2 linked regions of the Kluyveromyces lactis genome follow. The protein of the gene in region 1 interacts with the protein of each later gene in a biochemical or structural test. Links are inferred from orthologs where the notes say so. Each region holds a gene or a part of one and is shown in the gene's direction. Other genes may lie near its edges. The genes, in order: VPS45 and TLG2.

Region 1 (17,044 bases):
GTTTTCCTTACAATAGTTTGAGCGTTTTCGGAATGAGATATCCCTTATTTCCCTTCCATGAGTTCCATTTTTTAAAGCTCCTGGGTATTTGCCTTTGGGTATCTTAGTAATGTTGAGGGTAGAATTTTTCACAAAACAGAGCACCTGTTGTTGCTCTTGAGATCCAAAAAGCTTCCATTGCCTATGTGCTCCGCCACATGGTTGGCTGAATACTTCATATTGTTGGGATTCGTTATAAATATGGAACAAGTTAGACTTAAATCCGTAGACGAAGAAATCATCATTTGAATCATAAAATGAACCTTCCAAAAAACCTCGGCTAATTTTATTGGCGTGTATTGTTTTGTACACAGAGCTTCTGAAGTCTACAGCAACAAAGAAATAAGTTCCATCTCTGTTAGTCATTGAGAATAATGCATCATTCTCTGTGGTTTCCAAATAGTTAATAGAAGTTATTGCATCAGCTGCTTGAGTTTTAACCACAATTGGAGGTTTCGTTTCTGATGCAAGGTCGAAGATAAATGCCAAGCTGAATCTTGCACCCACCAGTAAGCGATTATTATGAACTTCTGCGCAACTTGATATCATGTTTTCAGGTTTAGAAAACGTATACCTTTCTGTTGGAGCACAGGAACCATGGTTGAATTTTAACATCAACAGTGGGTCTCTAGGATTCGGCGATTCAATTATAAGGTAGAAATGAGCAGTGTGTCTTACTGATAAGCAGTTTACCGTTTTAGTAAGAAGTTCTAGTTCATAGTCGACTTTTTGCAACACAGAACCGAATTTATCAAATTTAAACGATGTCAATAAGCATTTGTTGTTCATGAAGAAGATGGTGTTTTCGTTTCCTTGGGTAATAGAAAAACTGAAAAATCGATCGTCATAATCTAAGAACTTCCATTCCTCTATATTTTGAAGGTATTCAAGTATGTTACCTTCCGATGTGATTAAAACTAAACCAAAATCAAACCAGTGGAAACCTTTTACAATTTCATTGGCTTTATGAATGAAACCGTCGCATTGTTCTGAGATGCTTTCCAGAGAAAGTTCAATATTGCATGATCTATTATGCGGGACAAGTTCCGTAACTTTTAACCGACCATCGTTTCCTCCACTTATAGCAATTAGATTGGTTTCCTCCACATCAACCCCCCACACATTCTTAGTTAGATGACTCTCGAAAATATCTTTTATAGTTAATTCATCGTTCTTGTAGTTCCAGACTCTGCATGTACAATCCTCTGAAACGCTGATGAGCTGTGTATCATCATTGAAGAACTTTAAATTCCATATCCTCGCTGTATGGCCCCAAGCCCTTGATAAAAGCTTTCCAGAAACCATATCCCAAATAATTATGGAACGGTCATCAGAACAACTGGCTAGAAGTTTCCCATTATTACTAGTAGTCACATAAAAGATAGAACCTTCATGACCACGCAGAGTGTGTATTTTCTTCTTTGAGTCTAGTTCCCATACTATAATACCATTCATGATTGTTCCAGCATTTACGAGAACCTTATGGCGAAGAACCTTTATGGAACCAGAATATAAAATCGACCGTTCACCTTCCACAAAATGAGTACTTTTAACAGTGAAGTTATCTGGATCGATGATCAGAACTCTGTTGTAACTGGTTAAAAGATATATTTCTTCTTTATTGAAGCTAAACTCACCGCTCATGATCCATTCACCAGTCATTTTCTCCTGGTCAAGCACTTCACTTTTCGAAAAGAGATCATTTATATTGACGATTGAAAAGGATCTTGAACCGTAAACCAACACATTTCCAGATGTCTTATCTATGCTAATACCATGAACTTTGTTTCTATGGAAAATATGACAGCGGTTAATGCTAGATCCATTCGAATAATCGAATACCTCGATGAATGGACCTTGTGAACATAAGCACCACTTCTCATAGAATTTTACGGCCAGAGAGGGACCAACATGATTCAGTTTTTGTAGCATTACATGCAACTACCCTTTGAATCCTTATTTATTTCGGTATCAACCCTGAAGGTCCTTGTAGTGTTCCCTAATTCCACTGTTCCACTTTTCTCGATCATTAAAAGGTCATCTCATCGTTAATGTCATTCTATTTTACCAGGTCCATTGAGCGATAACATTGAAAAATTTTAAGAAAACCATGTAAAAAGGTCAAAACAAACATAAACATAGAGTGAAGTGAAGAACAAAGCAGCCAGGGACGAGGTATATCCCGAACTAACCAGAGTAAAAGACACTTTACTGTATAATTTTTAAACCTAGCGGTACCTGTACAGGTCTTTCAGGTTATTCGATTGGAATTCAGCTGGTAAAAGCGAACTATAGTTACCGTGCATCTGTGATTTGTTAGGGTACGAGATACTTACCGTTGCTCTTTTGAATGTATGAAAGGGGATTACTAAATAACTGAACTATAGTAACCAGTGATGAACAATTGGCAACTTTCCTATCAGTCACCAGAAGATCTGACGTATCATTTAAAGAAGCCCTATTTGCAGTATGATAAAAAGGAAAAGCAAGTAACAAAGGTAGTATTTGATACTGAGGCTAATCTAATATGGGCCGGAGATTCCTACGGACGCGTATCATCATATGATCCGACATATTCACTTTATACCAGACATACGGCACATATAGGCTCAATGCCTGTTGTTGACCTTTTAAGCAATAAAAATGGTATTCTATCACTAAGCTCCGATTCTTTACATTTCTCTAATAGAAGGGGTGTCACTCAGATGAGCTTAACTTCAGCGGATATCGCACAACTTTCCGATATGAAGACCATGTGTTACTATACCAATAACCAAAATCAAGTACTATGTGCTGGTGGTAATACAGCCAGTGGTATAATATCTGTGGATCTGATAAAAGGAACACTAGCATCAAGCACATACTTTACTTCAAAGGTAAAGCACATGTCCTCAAATAACAAGCTTGTGGCAATTGGTAAGCAAGCGGGATCTATAGATTTATTTGATCCAGTCAGTAATAGGGTGATACATTCTTTATCGGGACACTCTGCATCAATTACCTCGATGGATTTCAAAGATAATACTTTGGTAACTGCGGGAAAATCAAAAACGTTTGGCTACTTGCAGTCTGATCAATTCATAAACGTTTACGATGTGAGAATAATGAAGCAATTACCGCCCATCTCTTTTTCCAAAACGCCTAATTTTGTGGGCAATCACACATCGTCCAAATTTCCGATAGGTGCGGACTTTTTACAATTGCATCCAGTGTTGCCAACGGTCGTGGCTGTTGCGTCTTCTTCGGGAAGTTTCGATTTCATAGATTTGGTCAATCCAAGCCTACGAACCCCATACATCCATCCTTGCAAATCTATTAGCCAATTCACGCTTTCTCCCAGTGGTGATTATCTTGCCTTTCTTGAAGAAGAAAGCATGATAAATATGTGGAACAGATCAAACTCTATGTCTGGATTTACCAACTCTGCTGCAGTACTTGAATACCAGGATTACCCCGAAGACAGTTTCATCCCATATAGAGTCGAAGTGGGTCAGGAATCGTACCCTTTAAGTTCAATTGGGCTACCCTATTACTCAGAAACATTGTTGTCGGCATGGCCTCACACTGTATTCAAAACTGAAGGAATCATATCTAAAAAGATTGAAGGAAGCAGTTCTTCAGAAACCGACAATAATTCTACGAAGAGTGTTAACAGGTCTCTTTCTCACTTGTCAAGCAGTAAGTATTCATTACAGCCGTACAACAAATTCAAATATGGCCCTCGAAATGTTATAGAGCCTTATAAGTCGCTAAGGGAAAGAAGAAAAAAAATGGTAAGTACGACAGAAGATAATCAACATAGGAAAGAACTACTAGAATATAAACCTTCCAATAACATTGATATCCCACCAGCATACAGCAAATTACAAATGATATATGGGAAGTTTGGAGTAATGGATTTCGATTTTGGTGGATTCAATACAACTCAGTATTCGGGATTGGAAACAGATATTGACTGTGTTTATATCAATGAAATAATCCATTTGTACCGTTTCGTTCCTGAAGTTTACAACTTTGTAGTGAACTGTTTGGAAGATGAACACATTCAAGAAAAGTCTGTTTTGACCGAGCTTGGGTTTTTGTTTGATATGATGACAAGAGCGAATGGTAAAATTTGCCGAGCATCTAACTTTGTTGATGTTCTTGAATCAATATCAACGGCTAATGAGCTGGGTTTATTTACTGACGAAATTTCAACTGTATCAGGGCATGCTGGCAAGCCCTCTTTAGATGAAGGGAACTTATCCTCTCACATCTATAACTTGAATTTGTCAGTAGATGCTGACGCAGAAGAAATAATGAAAAGGTCCTATGGGAAATATATGACTGTGGCTCAAAAGTTTAATATTTTCTTACTTGATAGATTAATATCAGAAGAAGTTGAAAGAAAGTTGCATTCAACTGACGCGATTGTGTTAGAAGAATTATTTGGGCTTAATGTGGATACTGAAATTCACACATTATCTACCTGCGGAAATTTCGTTCGCCAGCCACATCTCGTGTCGTCTTTGGTAGTTTTAAGTCCGGCAAGCAACAACGTAAAATATAGCAATAAGAAACTGAGTAACCAAACCATTCTACCGTATATTGAATCATCCATGTGCAGGTTCAAGCAATTGACAGCAAGATGTTCTAAATGCGAGAAGTTGCAAAATCAAGAATACGAAAGCATAGTCAGAAATTTACCACCTTTACTTTCACTCAATATTTGTTTGTCACCAGAAGAATGGACAACTGCTAAAACTGTTAATGGATGGTTGTCAAACCACTTTTTTGCCACAATCTCTAAGGATAGACCCATCTTGAAACTTCAGGCCACTGACCTCAAGACGTCTAATGCTATCTTCAAGTACGAATTAATGTCCTATGTCGCAAGAATCACAGACGATTTCGGTGAGGAGCATTTGGTCACGTACGCTAAGATCTTGGATCAGAAAATACAACAGTACAAGTGGTACATGTTTAATGACTTTTTGGTACAAGAAATTGATGAGGATGAGGCTTTAAATATTTCGTACTGGTGGAAAACACCAGAAATTGTTGTTTATTCTGATGCGGAAGAAATCAGAAAGCCATTTGTTTCAGTTTCGAAATTAAAGGTTGACACAGACATCCTATATCGTGACTATTTCAGTGAGGGCATTAGAAAAGACGTGATAAGACAATACAGACTATTGACTAAAGATGAAGCACCAGGACCGGGCACCTTAGTTGCCTTGGACGCGGAATTCGTGTCTTTGACAGAACCGTACTTGGAAATCAATTGTAAAGGTATGAAAACCTTGCTTAAACCAGCTAAGAAGTCTTTGGCTCGTGTATCTTTGTTGAGAGGTGAAGGTGAGTTGGAAGGTGTTCCATTCATTGATGACTATATTATAAATGAGTGTCATATCGAGGATTATCTAACCCAATTCAGTGGTATCGAGCCAGGAGACTTGGATCCAAAACTGAGTAAAAAAAGTTTGGTTAAAAGACAAGTCTTTTACAGAAAAATGTGGTTACTACTTCAATTGGGATGTGTTTTTGTAGGACATGGATTAACCAATGATTTCAGACAGATCAATATATATGTCCCAGAATCTCAAATTAGAGACACGTCGTTGTATTATTTAAAAGGGAAAAGATATCTTTCTCTACGTTATTTGGCGTTCGCGGTTTTGAGAAAACAGGTGCAAACAGGAAATCATGACTCCATCGAAGACGCACATACTGCGTTGTTACTTTATAGAAAGTATTTGGAGCTAAAGGAGAAGGGTGTATTTGAAATGTATCTAGAGAACATTTATGATGAAGGAAGAAAGTTCGGCTTCAAAGTTCCTGACACGATTTGACGTAGTGATATAAAATCTTCTAAATAATACGTTTATAAATGTGCGGAATATATGCTATCTGGAAAATGACAAGATACTATTTGACAACCTAATACCTCATGTTCGATTTATATTTTGATAAATAGCTTCAATAATTCATTAAGATTATTGTTTTTTATTCTGAAAGTTACATTTAAAGTTTATATCTTAAAGTGAAACTTCTTAGAGAATGATGAAAATACTACAATATGTCGAGTGCATATCCGAAATGCTTGTGAATGCATATATACTTCTGTTTACACATGCTGTTGGTTCAAAACATGCTCCATTCTTCTATTTACTGCCCTAGTAGTGGGATGCAACGAGTTTACTGCTCTTTGATGTTGAGAACTGGACATCCGGGATGGACGGGTGTTTCGATAGGTACCGGGGTGCTGCACTGTCATGAGTTCAGGATTTGATTGAACTAGAGGATTTTCGTCCTTATTAAATTCTAATGTATTGCTGTTCCAAAGTTTGGTGAGCATACGTTGCATTTCCAACTTATTGGCAGTTGAGTTAGTTTCCTTGGATGATTTACCCTTGTCGTAATCGACTCCGAAGAAGCTTCCTGCGTTCTCACCCGTGCTAATTTTCTTTTGTTTTTGTATTTCAATACTTTGTTGTTGCGATATTCTGCTCAAAGAATCTGCCAACGGATTAGAGAATCTTCTAACATTAGTGTATTCTCTAGAAATTCTTTCAAATTCTCTTCTCACCTCCACATTCGAGGCCAAGAACACTGCATCAGGAGAGGTGTTTTGACTGCTTAGATCTTGTATTGAATTTTCTCTTTGCAACCATAACTTTTGTTGTGTTCTTGAGTCAGTTCCGACGTCTCCGTATTGCAAAAATGACGAGAAATCTGTCATGCCATTACCGCTGGTATCATTCTCACTGTACGATGGTTGCCGATAGAGTGATTGCTGCCGTGGACGTGACTGAGATACAGTGTTCGCACGTAAAAGATGGTCGCGTGAAACGGGCCTTGTCAAATGACTGGTTAAACTGGATATAGCTGTAGAAAAGTCGGCCTTCGATTGTTTCGGCTGCTGTTCTTGATGGCGCGGAGGAGATGGCTGATCAATATTGTCATTTTTCAACGAAGCTGCCAAATCTTGATTGATATAGTTAAATTTATTGGATTTTGTATTCTGTATCTTGAGAGATTTATCGTTATTATTTTCGGCTGGGTCGAGCCATGCTAACGAACTCTGACGAGATAATTGATCAAATCTTCTTTCCATTCCGGTAGACTGAGATAGAATCATATCAGGAACGTATTGTTCCGTTCCTTGTGTTTCAGAGTCGATATTAGAACCATTCAGAGCAGTGTTGTTGCTATCAGGAATCATATTGCCATTCTTACTGGAGGAGGAACTGTCATTACTATGGGGATCCTCAGGAAACTGTTCATCAGTTACAGCGCCAGCTTTTGCGAATGAATATCGCTTAGGATCATCACTACCAATATCCTCATTTGCTTTTTCGTTTGTTGCTGTATGTGTAATTCCGTCAATAATATCTTCTTCAGTATAACGACGCACTCCTTCATCGACGGCAGTGTTCGCTGCTATAATATCCTCATGCTCCGTAGTTTCCACATTATAAGATTTCTGCAGATTACCGTTTCCATTATTGAAATCAAACATATGTTGCCTGTGGCGTCTTAGACTATTCGTGTTCGATATAGTGTCCTGATTGCCAGGGTCAATAAGGTCATCTTCCCTGTCAGGAGCGTCAATTTTGTCATTATCCATTGGGCTCACAGCTCTTGATGAAATATGATCATCATCTGCATCAACTCTGTTTCTAAGCCGTGACGGTGGTTTATAGCTCAATGGCCTTTGTAGAGGTCTACCAGAATCCACTCTTAACCCAGCTCTGTCCTGAAAATCATTGATGCTATGCATCGAGTTCCTCTGAGTTGTTGAATTTTTGCCCGTTCCATTTATTGTCTCATCATCTGATGCATCATCTCCTTCTATATCGGTGAAAGACTCTACCTCTTCATCAGTCATAGAATCGTTATCCCCAGAATCGTGAAGATCTAGGATGACGGACTTGGAGTTCCTATCACTAATTAGGCCCTTATGCTTCATGCTGTGACTATTCTGGTGTAGCACAACTGGATGAGATGATGTTCTTACCAATGCCGTCATACTGAGACCACTGTGTACCGTGCGTCTGTTCAATGAGTCCGAACTCTTCGATTTCTTCATAGGATCGAAAAGTCCTCTATTCAATGCATCGTGGCTTCCTACCTTGTGTAATTTCTGTAAGTTCTTGAAACTGGTGTTGCTCTTGCTCCTAGATTTTGCAGAGAACTGTTTAGGTTTTCCATGTCCTTTCTTCTGCTTCATATACTGTGATAGACTGGTATCTGAATTAGTCTTCACAGGCTTCACACGGGAAATTGTGGCCATTGTTGTAAAGAATAGCCAGTAGCCTCAACTTAAGAATTATTACCTTGACTGTACAGAATTGTGGAAAAATTGCTATTTCCCACCTAAATGTAAAGTTTGGAATCACAGGCTATAGCAAGATTGTTGTTCCTGTGTTTGTTTGTAGTTAAACAAAGATGGATTGATGTGTGCCAGAATCTTAGTTTCAACTCTTTTTGAAAATAAGTATTAAAGGAGAAATGACCTTAAACTTTTGCATGGAACAAAGTAGCAGTGAGAAACGGTAGATTAAGGCTGCTGTAGCGCGTGCCAACGGTGAATCAGCAATTAAGATATCCAAGTTCTTTTGAAATTGAGAGGATAGAGCACTTTTTCGTAATGAATTTGTTTACGGTTGGTGATTATTATATCAGCAGAATCGCAAATTTCCAGTCCAAACCGTCGGACACCTCGATACAGGAGAAGTCGAGAGTAAAGGCATTGATTTTGGATAATGACACACTCTCTACGATATCGATGTGTACTACTCAAACCGAGCTATTAAAGCACGAGATTTACTTGGTCGATAAACTTGAGAATATTCACAGAGATCCAATGCCACATTTGAAATGTTTATGCTATTTGAAACCCACTGAGGATACGATTCAAGACCTATTACACGAATTACAGGATCCCAAGTATGGCGAATACCAGATTTTCTTCAATAACCAGGTGAGTAAGTCCCAGTTGGAACGGTTAGCCGAAAGAGATGATATGGAGGTTGTCACACATGTAGAAGAAGTTTTCCAAGACTACCTAATTGTGAACGAGGATGTCTTCACTTTAGAGATCCCGTTGTACAATCTTCTCCAAAATCAATTGGTATGGGATCCAAAGGGATTGCAGGAGACGTCTAACGGGTTAATCTCATTGCTACTATCGTTAAAACTAAATCCGACAATTGCGTATGACTCGGATAGCAAATTGTGTCAAAAGTTAGCTAAGGATTTAGAGTATGAAATTAAGACAAATGAAAGGCAGTTATTTGATTTTCCCGTCAGAGATTCGAATCCGTTACTAATTTTACTTGACAGGAAATCGGATCCATTGACACCATTACTTCAACCGTGGACCTATCAATCGATGATAAATGAATATATCGGAATAAAAAGAAACTTGGTAGACCTTTCGAATGTACCAAATATCGATCCCGATTTGAAGCAGGTTGTACTCTCTTCAAAACAAGATAAGTTCTTCAAAGAAACAATGTATATGAATTTTGGTGATTTGGCAGATAAGGTGAAGAACTATGTTACTCAGTATAAAAATAAGACCAACATTACCAAACAAATCAATACGATAGAAGATATTAAAGAGTTCATCGAAAAGTTCCCCGAATTTAAGAAACTCTCAGGCAACATTTCAAAACATATGGCCATTGTTAGTGAATTAGATAGGCAATTACAACTGAAGAATATATGGGAAGTCAGTGAGCTAGAGCAAAACCTCTCTTCACATGATGACAATAACGATGACTTTGTAGAACTGAAGAGAATTCTAAACTTACCAACCTTAGAATCATATTACAAATTAAAATTATGCTGCATTTTTGTTCTACGACACGGCAAGAACGAATCTAGAGTTTCTGAGTTGGAGAATATTCTAAGACAACAGTGTGATCCCACACAAATTTCTCTTTACTTTCAATTTAAACAGAGATTTGGGTCAATATTCAATAAACACAAAGCTCCTCAGGACAATGATTTGATTAGTGGATTAACCAAGAAATTCAACAGATTAGGCAGCACCAGCGCTGAAAATGTGTTTATGCAACATGTTCCTGAATTGACAACACTTCTCAGCGATTTGGATAAAAACAAGTTCCCACAAGAGGGAGTGACTCTTTTAAACCAAAATATTGACCCTAAGACATATATGCCACAAGATGTTGTTATATTGATCGTCGGAGGCCTCACTATAGAAGAAGCGCGCGCAGTACATCAATTCAATGAGAAACAGAGTAAAAATAAGGACAATTGCAGAGTTATCATTGGAGGAACCTCGATTATTTCTACAGAGCAATTTTTAACAGATGTTTGCGCCGTTAATGATAAACCAGTTGACTTATTATGAACTTACGTATGTACTTCAGATGTAGAATTAGGTAAGGAAATGTATGAAACAAGAAAAGAACACTCTCTATCATGCTTTTAAGAAGCTGGACTAAACTTTTGCTCCCAAAGCAGTAATTTCCTCGTTAGCTCATCCATCGTTTTGAAGGATTCGTCGTAACTGGAGAATATTTTATTAATATTTTCCAGGAATTCTTCGTTTTCCACAAACTGGCACAACTGATCCCGTTGACGTTGGTCATTAGATATTTCTAACTGTGTCCTTGAGATAAATTCCAGAATAGCGTTAACTCTTCTTCTCATTTCATGCATAGTGGTCCTCTGAGAGGGAATCCTGGGTTTTAGAGGCTTGTTGATTCCGATATCATTAGATTGTCCATTAGATTTCGACAAGTTTGAACTTCCAGAGGAACCCGATCCTTTTGAGCTGCTAGCTTTAGAATTCCTTGCAACTCTTCCACTTGAGGTCTTGTAAATCCTTGAGTTACTTTGCGTGGTTGAACCATTGCTCTTACCTCTTCTTGATCTTTTTGATTTGGAGTCATCTTCGGAACCTGATGGCGATGTAGATTTTGTTGTCGTTCTAGCTCGTTTTCTTGATTGACTAGCTGCTTCATCAGCTTCAGATCCTTCCACTTCTGGAGATTCCGTATCTCTAGTGTAATTCTTTGGTGAGGCGGACTTCCCTGATGCCTCTTCTTCCTTCAAAATATCTTGGTCTTCGGGATCGGTGCCATCTTTTGAAGAGCGTCTGCTTTCGCGTAGGGCTTTCTCTAGCATAAGTTGATAATGTTTCTCTTCCCTGGCACTGGATGTAGCACGTTTACGATCTGCAACCTTTTGATTTTCATCAATTGGATCAAACTCGCGCTTGGGAATATTTTCATCCTTATCTTCACCATTTCCGGAGTCCGCAATAGAATCTTCACCTTCATCCTTCGATAATTCAACATTACTACTATTTCTCCTTTGCCGAGATAATCTTTGAGATCCAATATTTCCACTAACCACTGAGCTAGAAGGAGATTGGTTCTCTAGTGAACTTCCAGCGTTTGATACTTCTCCATCCGATTCGGAGTTTCTTTTCGACCTTCTATTTTTCCTACGGCGTTGCTGAATTGGCTTGTATATTGACCTCTTCTCACCAAGATCCGTTGTGTAGAGCGAGTGTAGCTCTGGTTTACACTGCTCGCACCAATACTTATCCGGAGTTTCCTCCTCAGATATGCCCACACAATATCCATGTTGCCAAACATGGCATTGTTCACATTGAATATAAAGACCCGAATCATCTGGCGGTTCAATTTTCCCACAAATACACCGAGTCTCACCTTCATCCTCAGGCTCTGGATCAGAGTCCTCTACATACTTCTCTGGTGCAAGGTCCGTCCTTCCACGGTCCCTCGTTTCTCGCTTCATTGCTATGATTCAAGATCCCCTCTTCTCGATTATTCGTCAAATATCAGCTGCAAATCGCCCAAATTAACCGCTCTATGTCGAGATCAGTAAAAATGGCACTATAGAACAGCCCTGAAACTTCTGGAATTCACTCTTGCCCTCCGCATTGCATACATAGAAACTTTAAAACATCTGTTATCCAAGGTGGCTCTACTTATTCCTTTTAAGTCTTTAATCAGTTGGAACACTTTTTCCTCGTTCGAAAAGTACATAAAACAAAAATATCACGTGATCCAAACACATACATAAATACATACATACATATATATAAACCATTTAACGTATCATCACCTATACTCTAGCGAACCAGTCTTTGTGAGGTACTTAACACCTTTGAACGGTTTTTTTGGACCTCCATTAACTACGTCGATTGATTGAAGTTTGATTCCGGAGGGAAGCTGGGATTTGTGTTCGTAGTAACATTTGATGAAACTAGGTTGTAGTAAGGATGTTAAGTGTGAACTAGGTGGTTGAACAACCGAAGATCTACTAGATGTTTGGTCATTGGAGGCGAGTTCGGGTTCCAGTTCCGCTATACAACGTAGTACAGCCATTGAACCGCATACCATGTTTTTGTCCAAATGCCAATTAACTTCGCCACGAGTCATATTTGTTTCGACACCGCCGTGAGTGTTTCTCATGACACGTACTATTCCCTTAAAATTTCTATTCATCCTGATAGTCATGCTCATGTTTTCTATTTCTTTCACCGTCGTGCTCATTCCAACGGTGACGCGGACCTCAAATTCGTCAAGTCTTTTACCTAAACTGCTTTGTAAATTTACGTCTATAATGCCGAGGTTTGAGTCTCTTTTCACCAACGGTAGGGTATATTGACAGAGCCTAGTACGTCCATCAGGAGGTACAAACGTTAGCTTAGTGAATTTCCCAGCGATTAAATCATTTATGCTGTTCGCCTTATCCTCTAAGATGCATCTATGGAAAGTCGTGTTTAAGTGGCTAAGCTTGTGGTCTAAGAGCCCAAGTTTCATCTCAACCAATGGCTGTCCGCTGAGATGGTTGTTTAAGTCGATACAACCCTTGATATGTCCGGTTAACAGTTTCCCCTTTTCCACAATAGCGTTAATTTCCTCACTCATATCGATGAATATTTCGTTATTAGCATAGTTGATGCCGCTCATTCTCCATGGGACACCAGATTCATCAACGGAATGATCAACTAACGAGGAGCCAGGAGACCCAACGTGGAACGAGGAAACGGATGAAGCGGATGAAGATGGATATCTACTGCCACTAAACCTTGATTTTTCCGGACCATTCTTAAACATTGACCCGTCCGGTTGTTGTAAGGTCTTGGTAATTGTATTGGTTGTCGTCTTCAACAATTTCGATAAATCGTTTCTACTTGGGACCATTGCCTTTAAACGGTTCGAGTCTGTTATCACCGGTTGCCCAGCATCAAGGATACAATGGAAAAGCATCGATAATCGATCGAGGTTATTATTTATCTTCTGCTTCGTTAATTGGTCCTTATCGAAATATTGTAACAACAGTAAATCTATCTCTTCTAACAAAGATACCACGGAAACTGTGGACTCTGAACACGAAATTAAACACCAATAAACAACTGGATTCAGCAAAGAAACGTGTCTGCAAAGCTTCAACTCAGAATTTATCTCATTGCAGTATTTAGACTCCCATGATTCGTCTTTACCTTGTAGTTTAACAACTAGTTGCCGAAAAGTAGGGCACTCTGCTACTGTTGAGTACTGGAATAGCGTTTCCTGGCACCTATCATTGACATATATGCTAACAATCATTGTAGCCAATTGCTTAAGTTCACTATGATAACCAACTATATGCGGATAACCCGCTGTATCCTGTTTGCTTGCCTTAATTTTTCATTAGGTTGTTCCATCTCGTACTTCTCTTAATCGTTAATCAAAATTTCGTGAATTTCATGAATTCAAAGAACGAAAGAACAAGACCAACAACAAACTTTAAAGATCAACAAGAAATTCTTGTTTTTAAGGGAACTGAACACCTTTCAGGTAGGCTTCAGAAAGGGTATATTTGACAGCATTTGGTTGAGAATTATCGCAAGAAAGAATATACTAGTTTCCTTCTGTGTTTCCCTTTCTGTCTGCAATTGAAAACACTAGTTGCAGTTTTGTTTCTCTATATAAGCTGAAAGGAGAATGTCAAACCCACCAATGAATCCTGGCAATGCGAACCCTTTGAGTAACATAGGGACGCCTTCCTTTTCGCTTTCGCAGGTTCCACAACATATCCTACAATCCTTGACGCCAGCGCAGTTGCAGATGATTCAGCAGAAACATCAACAGTTGTTATTGCAGAGACAAAGACAAGCACAGCAGATGCAGCAAGAACAGGTTTCTTCTCCCGGTAATATGAACCAATTGGATGCTGCTCAGCGTGCGCAGCTAATGAAGCTCAAACAACAACAAATGCAGAGATCTCAGACGCAGCAGCAACAGGAGCAACGAGCTCAGCAGGTGCAACAAGCCCAGCAATTGCAACAACAGCAGGTTCAACAGCAACAGCAGCAGTCTCCTCCCCAATCTCAACAACGAACTTCTTTGAATCTTCCTCCACAAATTGCACAACTATCACCGGCATTGCAAATGCAATGGCTTCAGTCCATCAAACAACAGGCTATTGCGAGAAATAACCAGAACGCTCTTCTGATGATCACTCAGCTTGAAGTCAAATTACAGCAACAACATAGACAGCAACAGCAACAGCAACAACAGCCTGTACCACCACAACAACCTGTTCAGCAGCAACAACATCAATCCCCGCCACGCAACATTATTCCTCCTAACCAACCGCAGCTTCAACAGCCTCAACCTCAGAAACCTCGTATACCACTTCAGCAACAAATGGGGAATCCACAACAAATGATTGGAGGTCAACCTATAACTCAGAATATACCAGTTATGAACAGTAATCAATCGATGGTTCCTTCGTCACAACAGCCACAATCACAACCACCACAACCACCACAACGACAACCACCACAACGACAACAACAACAACAAGTCCCAGTTTCAGTACCACAGCCACCTCAACCATCACAAGCTGCAATACTACAGCAAGTGCTTCAGAAGTTTCAGAAACAACTTCCTGATATTCCCAAATTCCAAACTATTCTTCAAGACCCACCTGAGACTCCATTACCTCATACTAGGTTATGGTCAGAGAAAGAAAGAGCTGATAACGAGCCTGTGAGTTTTGATACAAGATTATATGAACATGTTATTGAACGGGATTTGTTGGATAAGGACAACTTGTTGGCGGACACTAATGGATTGGAACCTATTTCCAAATTCGGATTCAGTCAGAGGGAGGTAATATTGAGATTACAGCAAGATCTTGATTATTACAAAGAATTGAGGAACAGTCGAATGCAATCCATTACCAACACAACTCAAGGACATAAATCTAAGAGTATATGGGGTGACGGTTATTCTGGATATGGAAATGGCTTCAGTAACGATCTCACAAGGATTCAAGTCGATGACACTTATGAAATGCACTTGGACGAAATATATGAATGGACAATGAATCAAACAGGGGAGGAACTAGTACCTGTTAGATTAGAGTTTGATGCAGAAAAGGATAAATTTACTTTGAGGGACACATTCGTATGGAACAGATCAGACACGCTACTGTCAATCAACGAATTTGTGAAAACAACGCTGAAGGATTATAGGCTCAAAGTCACCACGGAGATGTATCAACAGATTGTGAATAGTATCAAAGAACAACTTCAAGAATATACTCCAAATCCTTTTGAAAATGTGCAGAGGTTCGGGGGCGATGATTTCAGAATAAAAATCAACCTAGATATTGTCGTTGGACAACATCAATTGATAGATACCGTTGAATGGGATGTGTCAAATCCAGATAATTGTCCAGAATCGTTCGCGGAGTGTTTATGCGAAGAACTATCCCTTCCGGGTGAATTCTTAACAGCAATTGCACATTGCATTAGAGAACAAGTTCACATGTATCACAAGTCATTATATATGGTTGGTTACAAATTTGACGGTAGCCCCGTTGAAGAAGACGATATCAGAACAAGATTCTTGCCTGTACTCACCTTAGCAGACGTAATGAGACCACAAAAGGATACGTTTTTATACACACCTAACTTATTACAGATATCTCCCGCAGAACTAGAACGTTTGGTTAAGGATAAGGACAGAGACACTAGAAGGAAACGTAGACAAGTTCGTTTCAATAGAAGAGGCAATACAGAAAATCACCCATCGTCCGGAAGTACACCGCAACTACCCCATGATGCAGAACTTCCTGATCTTGGGGATATCCCAAAAACGTGCCGTCAACTACTTCCAACAACAACTTTGCCTGGAGGTATTGATGTTGGTCCAAGTACGTTATCGTTCCAGCCATCAACTAGAGTCGAATATTTAGACAGAGCTAAAGCAACTCCAAAACAAGAATTCCAACAGGAAGTAAGAAACTCATCAGCATGCAGAGTTATTATGCACGACGTTGGGAAATCTTTACTCGTCACTATAAAGCTACCAAAGGCGAAGACAACCATTCAATGAGTAATTCGCTATATATATATATATGTACATATGTATTTATGTGGTACCACCTGTAACAATTTTAAGAAATACTATGATAAATAAGCTAGAAGAAAGAGCACTGAAGATAGCTATGAGAGACCGAACGCCGATGATCGCGGGCTTACTCGAGGGTCTTGACACGCACCTCTACGTATATCGATATTTATGTGTGCCTGTTTCATTCTTTATGGTGTAAGCCTCTAAATTTCATAAACAGCTCAAAACCAAAAAATATATTTAGTAATGGAAACGTTAACATTTGAACGAACCAACCCTTTTAAGAAACTTGGTATGCAGAGGCCACAAACTCATCAAAGCAGCCATATTTGAGTGTTACTCGAGGGTAGTAGAGTTTACTGAGATTATCTACGCGGCGAGTATGTCTGAGCATTCGGAATTCGTAGCCGGAAGTGGCGTTGGCAGGAGCCAAGATGAAGTCGGTGGATCTTCCTCAGTGACTTTGTCTCCTTCACAATCGCAGTCGCAGCTGCAAACACAGCCAGAAACCGAATCTTCAAGAGCTGATGATGTGGAAACAGGGACAACTTCGTCGTCTTCTAGACTGCACCAGATGAATGGGCAGTTCCAACAACATTTGA
Region 2 (6,742 bases), on another chromosome or scaffold:
TTCTGATATGTGCTCTCACAACTCCCAATAGCAATGGAAAGTCCGGTACTTCTAGTTAAAAACGCTAATGCTGCTACTAATGCAAGCAATCTGGGATTACTCGGACAGAAACAGAATTCGTATACTGTGGATGAGAATACTTGGTTCCTAAATAATATCAGCTTCATATTCGAAGATGATGATCCGAGCCAGCACGACGAAGATCAACTAGATTACGAAAATGTCATCATTATAGATAGTGAGCCGTCTGGCACGGTGAACAATGTAGAAATGCTTAGCGAACGGTGGCAGTTACTAGCTTTTGATCAAAACCCAAGAGATAATTGCATATCACTCACTGTCATGAACGAATTAAGTGCAGATTTGGGTCAGAATACTGATATTTCTGGTTTAGATAACCTGTCTAAGCTGTACCATGAGCGAAACGCTCAGATACGGAAACTACTCGATTCCATAGCTCCGTAAATTGTAGCATATGTATATCTATACATACATATATATATATATATCCCATAGTCTCACGACAACTCTTCTAAATTTGCAGGAGTTGGTTTGATCTTAATTCTATAGTGCGATTCGATCTCTTTCAATTTGGGTCTTTCCTCCTTCGTGATGAAATTTATTGCAACACCTTTACGTCCAAACCGTCCGGATCTACCAATACGATGGATATAGTTCTCTAGATTATCTGGTATATCGTAGTTTATCACCAATGAGATCTGCTGGACATCGATACCACGAGCCCACACGTCTGTCGATATTAGCACCCTGGCTTTTCCACTCCTGAAATCATTCATCACTTGATCACGTTCTTCCTGTTTCATGTCACCGTGCATTGAGGACACAGAGAAATTCGTCTGTGTCAACTTCCTGGATAACCAATCCACTTTTTTCCTTGTATTACAGAATATCACACATTGTGTTATCGTTAACGAATCGTATAGATCACAGAGTGTATCAAACTTCCATTCTTCCTTTTCTACATCCACATAATATTGCTTTATCACGTCCAAGGATATCTCATCCCGCTTAACCAATATCTTCACCGGGTCACTCATGAACTTCTTGGTGATCTCTAATATATCTTTACTCATTGTAGCACTTACCACCACGACTTGAATCGTCGGTGGTAACTTGGTGAAAATGTCGTAGATTTGTTGTTTAAACCCCAAAGTTTCTCCGAGTAGTTCATCTGCTTCATCGAGAACTAAGATCTTACAGTTTCTAACGTTCAATACTTGTCTCTTGATCATATCTAGTACACGGCCCGGTGTACCACTGACCACTTGACAATTTTTCGATACTTTCTTGATATCTTGTTGTAAGGCCTTACCTCCTGTGCACGCATGTGCTGTAACGTTCAAATAGTCTCCTAGGTTAGATATCACAGATTCACTTTGACTCGCTAGTTCTCTTGTTGGTGATAAGACCAATGCTTGTAACTCTTTGCTCTTAGAATCAATTGCTTGTAATAATCCAATGGTAAATGTGGCCGTCTTACCGGTACCAGACTGTGCCTGGGCAATCACATCTTTTCCTGAGATAATCTGAGAAATGGCTCTAGACTGAATGGATGATGGATATTCAAAGCCGTAAAAATATATGCCTCGTAACAAATCCGGTTTCAAGTTCATCGACTCAAAAGTGGCAGATACCTTGAGCTTCTTTGAAGTCTTAAACTTCAACTTCGAGTCATCATCTCTGTTGAACGACATTGTTGATGTGATGATTCCCTTTCTTAACAACAGTAACTCCCGGTTACACTTCACTTGGACCTACCGTTGCAGCCTCTATTTCAATGCATCTCATCGCATCTCATCTTATCGTTGTGCTTGCCAAATTTTCCATTTTTTAAAGGTTTTAAGCTGAGAACCGAAAGTTCAACAACACTTTAAGGTGTCAAATTACAAGTGTATGTAAATAACTGCAGAACAACTGGTCGAGTGGCTCGATCTAGTGATTATTTAGATCAGATTAGTGGTAGTGCGTGCTTTCTTCCCTTGTTTGCTTTTGAACTGCACCATGTTTCGTGATAGAACTAATTTGTTTTTATCCTATAGGAGAACTTTCCCCCATCAGAGGCTTTCGAGTACCAAGCATCTACGATCGAATAAAGATTTGGAGAACCAGCCATTCATTGGTAGTGACGATGGTAACAATGATGAAGATATGGTTGCTATGGATGATTTCTCCCGTCAATTACCGCCAAAATTTTTCGATTTAACGTTCCAAGTGGATGAGTCGTTATCTGCAGTAGATCAATTGTTGCTACAGTTGACGAAACTATATCAAAAGAACTCTTTACCAGGATTCCAGGACAATAAGCAGGATGAGGAGGAGATTGAGCAGATAAGTTTCCAGGTAATTAAGAGATTCCAAGAATGTTTTGGTGTTATCAAGACTCTTACGAGAATTAAGGATTCTCAATATTCGAATGGTAAGCAGCTAAGCAAGGACGAGTTAAGGATATTGGATAACCTAGAAAAGAACTACGCTTTGAAAGTGCAAGACAAATCGCAGAAGTTCAGAATATTACAGAATAATCATTTGAAGTTTTTGAATAAAGATGATTTCAAACCACTACCCACTACGAAATCAAGTAACGATACATTGATGTTGTTGGAGGAAGAAGTTGAAGGAGATGAAGTCAATAACATCGACTCATATTCAAAGCAGACTTTACAAAAACAGAATCAGAAGTTACAGGATAACAATCAGCAATTTTTGCAACAAAGAGATGAGGAAATTACACAGTTAGCGAAAGGTGTACTCGAAGTTAGTACTATTTTCAGGGAAATGCAGTCTTTGATCATAGATCAAGGTACAGTGGTCGATAGGATCGATTATAACTTAGAAAACACGGTTATTGAATTAAAGCAGGCCCAAAAGGAGTTAGACAAGGCAACGCACTACCAAAAACGGAGTCAAAAATGTAAAATTATTCTATTTCTATCTTTGGTCGTTCTAGCGTTATTCCTCCTTGTCATGCTGAAACCTCATCACCATACTATACGAGAATCAGCTCCTTCAAAATCTCACAAACCTCCTGGATCACAAGTGGAGGTCAATTCTCCTAATGGAGACCCGTTGCTGGATCCAGAAAGTAATGTAGAATAAAAATGGTCAAATATTAATGAACTTGCTTATGATGGAGAAACTGCATCGAACTTCGAAAACAAATTTTGATATCGTGATAGAAGTAAACGACCACTGTCGAATTGGTAACAGTAGAAAGGTTCAAAAAAGTTAACTAGAGAGGAGGTCTATATATTATCTGTTACAGTAAATAGAATAAATTTGTTTAAAAAGTGAGTGGTTTCAGTATGAATATTACAATCAGAACTTAAAATGCTCCATAGGGACTGTCTCTTGACATGGATGCAGAGGTAGGTTATTTTTTCTTGGGAGCCTTTTCCTATAAGCAGGTTTATAGTGCATTGAAGATGCTGGTGCGGAGTTTAGCCCTGCACTCCTTTGGCTATTTCCGTATGATGCTGGACCAGTTCCGATGGAGAATTCAGGGTTTGATTGTAATAAGAAATCTGATGCAGACGGACCAGCCGAATACGGAGGTTGTGGTTGTTGTGGTTGTTGTTGCTGTACTGGTAGTGGCGGAGGGTGGTAGTATCCTTGTTGCGGACCTGCTTGGTTAGGAAGTGGAGGGTAATACTGTCCCCCGACAACTGGCGGTTGCGTAGGATGCATACCATTTGGAACCATTCCTTGAGCCATAGCAGGATTTTGTACTTGACCTTGTAATTGGTTCTGTAGTGGACCATGAGTAGGAGGGATATACTGTACACCACCTCTTCCCTGGTAGTAATTTGGATTGATACCTCTTTGAGAGACCGATGTGAACTGAGAGTCATCGTCGTTGATTCCATCATCATCAAAAGTGTCCATTGCAGGTCTTTCACTAGGATCAACAGTATTTTGTTTCAAGAATTCTTCTTCATCCTCGGATAAGACGCCATTGATAATATCCTGCAATACGTCTTGTTGAGTCTTTGGAGGTTGTGTGAGTTCATCTTGTGACTGTCCTCTATTGTTGCCCTGTTGAAGGTCTGATGCTATTACCCCACTACTACCACCGGCTATGTGTTCAGCATAAACTGATGATGGAGCCAACGAACCAATTTCTCCCATCTGAGAGAAATTCTGCTGGCTGTAATTATTGTTTGGTGCCGTAATTCTACCAGAAGACAAAGCCCTAGAAGAGGAATTCATACTTGAATTGGTACCACTTTGGTTAATAGCGGAGTACGGCTGCTTTGGAACAGCATTATGAAGCAAAGTGGCATCGTTATTGTTACTGTGTCTTTGATAACTATTTGCTGCTGCCATGGTTGCTAGTCCTTGCGGTGGTACTACGGCAGTGTTTGCTGTTGTTGCAGCAACACTGCCGTTGTTCATATATGAAGAGGGCACATCTGAGTCAGTGATAGTATTAGAGTTTAAAGTGTTGCTGGTGACGATTTTCGAGCCTTTATAATAATCCGGAATGGATGGAGCATCTAAATTAGTCACCTCTGTTTGATTAAACTCTTCTTTATAAAATTTGTCTCTGATAGACGTTGAAGAACGATCTTCATCTTCTTCATCGACAAGTCCGTTCTTACTATTAGAAGCCGTTTGAGAACGAGCAAAGAAACATAACGGCAAGCAAACCAAATTCAACACAGCAGAAGCAATTAAAATATACGAGTACCACGTAACGTGAGGATAAAACAAAAGGATCACCACGATGCAGATAAGAGCAGACGATAAAAATGCCAAGATGGAGAACAAGAAATTCATAACAAACCAGAAAGTGCTCGAATCAAAGAACCTGAATTGGCATAGGAAACTAGTGACCAATGCTAAAAACGTTAACCCAGCAGCGATTGGTGTCACGATCAAGATACTACCCAAGGCTTTTCTCGAATCGTTATTCATCTTCCAATTCGAATCATCGTCATCCAAATTTTCCGGGTGATAATTCGCCTGAGCAGAAGAACATGAACCACCGTCATCTTCACAGTATCCAAACACACCATAATGGATCCCATCGAAACTTGCCAATCTGACATTATCGAAAACCGGTGCAGAAACACACGCCAAAATTAGAAAGGCTAATGCCACACACTGCAGGAAAAACAAAAGGGTTGCAAACCCGAACGTAAACCTCTTGGCCATTCGTCTTATATCAGTATACTGAGTATAAGGTCAGTATTAGATATTAAACTGGAGCCCTTTTAACTCCTCCAAGTTGAAATCAGCGGAGAGACACAAAACGTTATCTACAAAATGGGGGAAAAGACAGACACCACTATTTCCACTGAATACCACAATATTAGTTATTATTTGACAATGATTCCAATTTTAATTGTAATTAGAGTGCAAAAGGCAACAAGATTCGGCTAACTTCTCGAATGAAACGCGTCTTTAACCAGTCTCTGTCTTTAAACAAACCAGCGAGTGTTGCTTGAAGAAGACTTCTTTTAATAGTAAATGGAGATTTCGAGTCGAAATCTAAATCTTGAACAAAAGAAAAAAAATGCGATAAAGGCTGCAGAAAGATAACGACAGAAAACAGTCGATTGATCCACCCTATGTTGCTATATTGTGTCAACAAGCTCCGTAGGACACTTACGGAGAAACTATACAAGTAAATTACACACTCAAAGAAAGCCATCTGTGTCTATCGCACAAATATATATCAGCTTTGCCATATAAACCACATATATGCATCTGCCATGATATGGATAGTACTTGTGGTCGATCATACTGCTTAGGGAAAAGACATAATTTTCCCGTTTCGTGGAAAGGCTGGTTTTGCAGCCGATACCGTCCACAGTGAAGGCTGTGTGTGTGGCCTTTCTTTCTTTCTCTTTGTGGCATAGAAGATTCAAAAAAAAAAATAAGTCTCCCGGGGGCGAGTCGAACGCCCGATCTCCAGATTACAAATTGCTTTGTGTTTTCAAATTACAGTCTGGCGCCTTAAACCAACTTGGCTACCGAGAGGAGTTACTTGGCTTTTGGCATACTACGGAGAGTTACATTAGGAAGTACAAGTCGCATGGGGAAGAAAGAATTAGGAAAAGGTAGAATGCAATGCAATGCAATGCAATCAAGCGGTGGGAAACTACGAACAGCTAGTACCGTTCGATGGTATCGCAGGTGTCTATACCGACAGTTGTTGCGTGAAAAACACTGTTTTTCTGGACAGAAATTCATACAAGGCCCGTGAATAGCTAAATATTAAGTTAGTTAGTATGTGGATCCAACGCAAATGGCCTCATATGGCATGAGGCAGAATTCTATGAAGTGAAGAGCACTTGACACCATAGTCAGGTTTGATATCTTCATCTTCATCTTCGTCTTCTCTCTCTACATATATGTACATGTATTTGTATATCATCTCTTATTCAACTTTTGAGGAAAATACTGAAAAATTTAAACCAATGAAATGTTAAAGAAAGTTGTACGTTATTGCCAGAATTGTAGAGTTTAGAGTCGTCCTCGAAGCGTATTCAATTACCCCATTCTTATTGCGACAGATCCGTCCTTCTGCGAAAGAACTCCAGGTTAACGCCGTTGCACACACCTTTTTTCCAATACAATAGTTCATTAAACCATGGGTGCCCAACCTTCAAAACCAGCCGAAACTAAAGTATACGTTCCGGAAACGCCGGTTAATTTCGAAAGCAAATTGATCGCTCAGATCGATAATTCAACTGAATCGGACTTCATTAGGTCTCAA

Evidence for each region.
Region 2: the proteins of VPS45 (region 1) and TLG2 form a complex in vitro, tested with the Saccharomyces cerevisiae proteins (2 studies listed by BioGRID). The link is inferred for Kluyveromyces lactis from reciprocal best matches to the Saccharomyces cerevisiae genes VPS45 and TLG2.

Annotation. Positions count from the first base shown.
Region 1 is NC_006041.1:1,665,702-1,682,745, reverse strand, and holds VPS45 (Vps45p), read left to right. Parts: upstream 1-8,671; coding exon 8,672-10,405; downstream 10,406-17,044. Other genes in the region: tRNA (34-2'-O)-methyltransferase regulator RTT10, read right to left, coding at 1-1,971; PAN2 (poly(A)-specific ribonuclease), read left to right, coding at 2,436-5,870; TCO89 (Tco89p), read right to left, coding at 6,146-8,314; CTI6 (Cti6p), read right to left, coding at 10,483-11,823; APM3 (Apm3p), read right to left, coding at 12,150-13,643; SNF5 (Snf5p), read left to right, coding at 14,022-16,424; BSD2 (Bsd2p), read left to right, coding at 16,825-17,044. UniProt on the Saccharomyces cerevisiae protein: Essential for vacuolar protein sorting. Function in membrane traffic between the Golgi and the vacuole.
Region 2 is NC_006037.1:926,541-933,282, forward strand, and holds TLG2 (t-SNARE syntaxin TLG2), read left to right. Parts: upstream 1-2,022; coding exon 2,023-3,117; downstream 3,118-6,742. Other genes in the region: ATG31 (Atg31p), read left to right, coding at 34-465; ATP-dependent RNA helicase FAL1, read right to left, coding at 519-1,715; KLLA0_A10703g (uncharacterized protein), read right to left, coding at 3,337-5,175; MIC19 (Mic19p), read left to right, coding at 6,617-6,742. UniProt on the Saccharomyces cerevisiae protein: t-SNARE that functions in transport from the endosome to the late Golgi and on the endocytic pathway.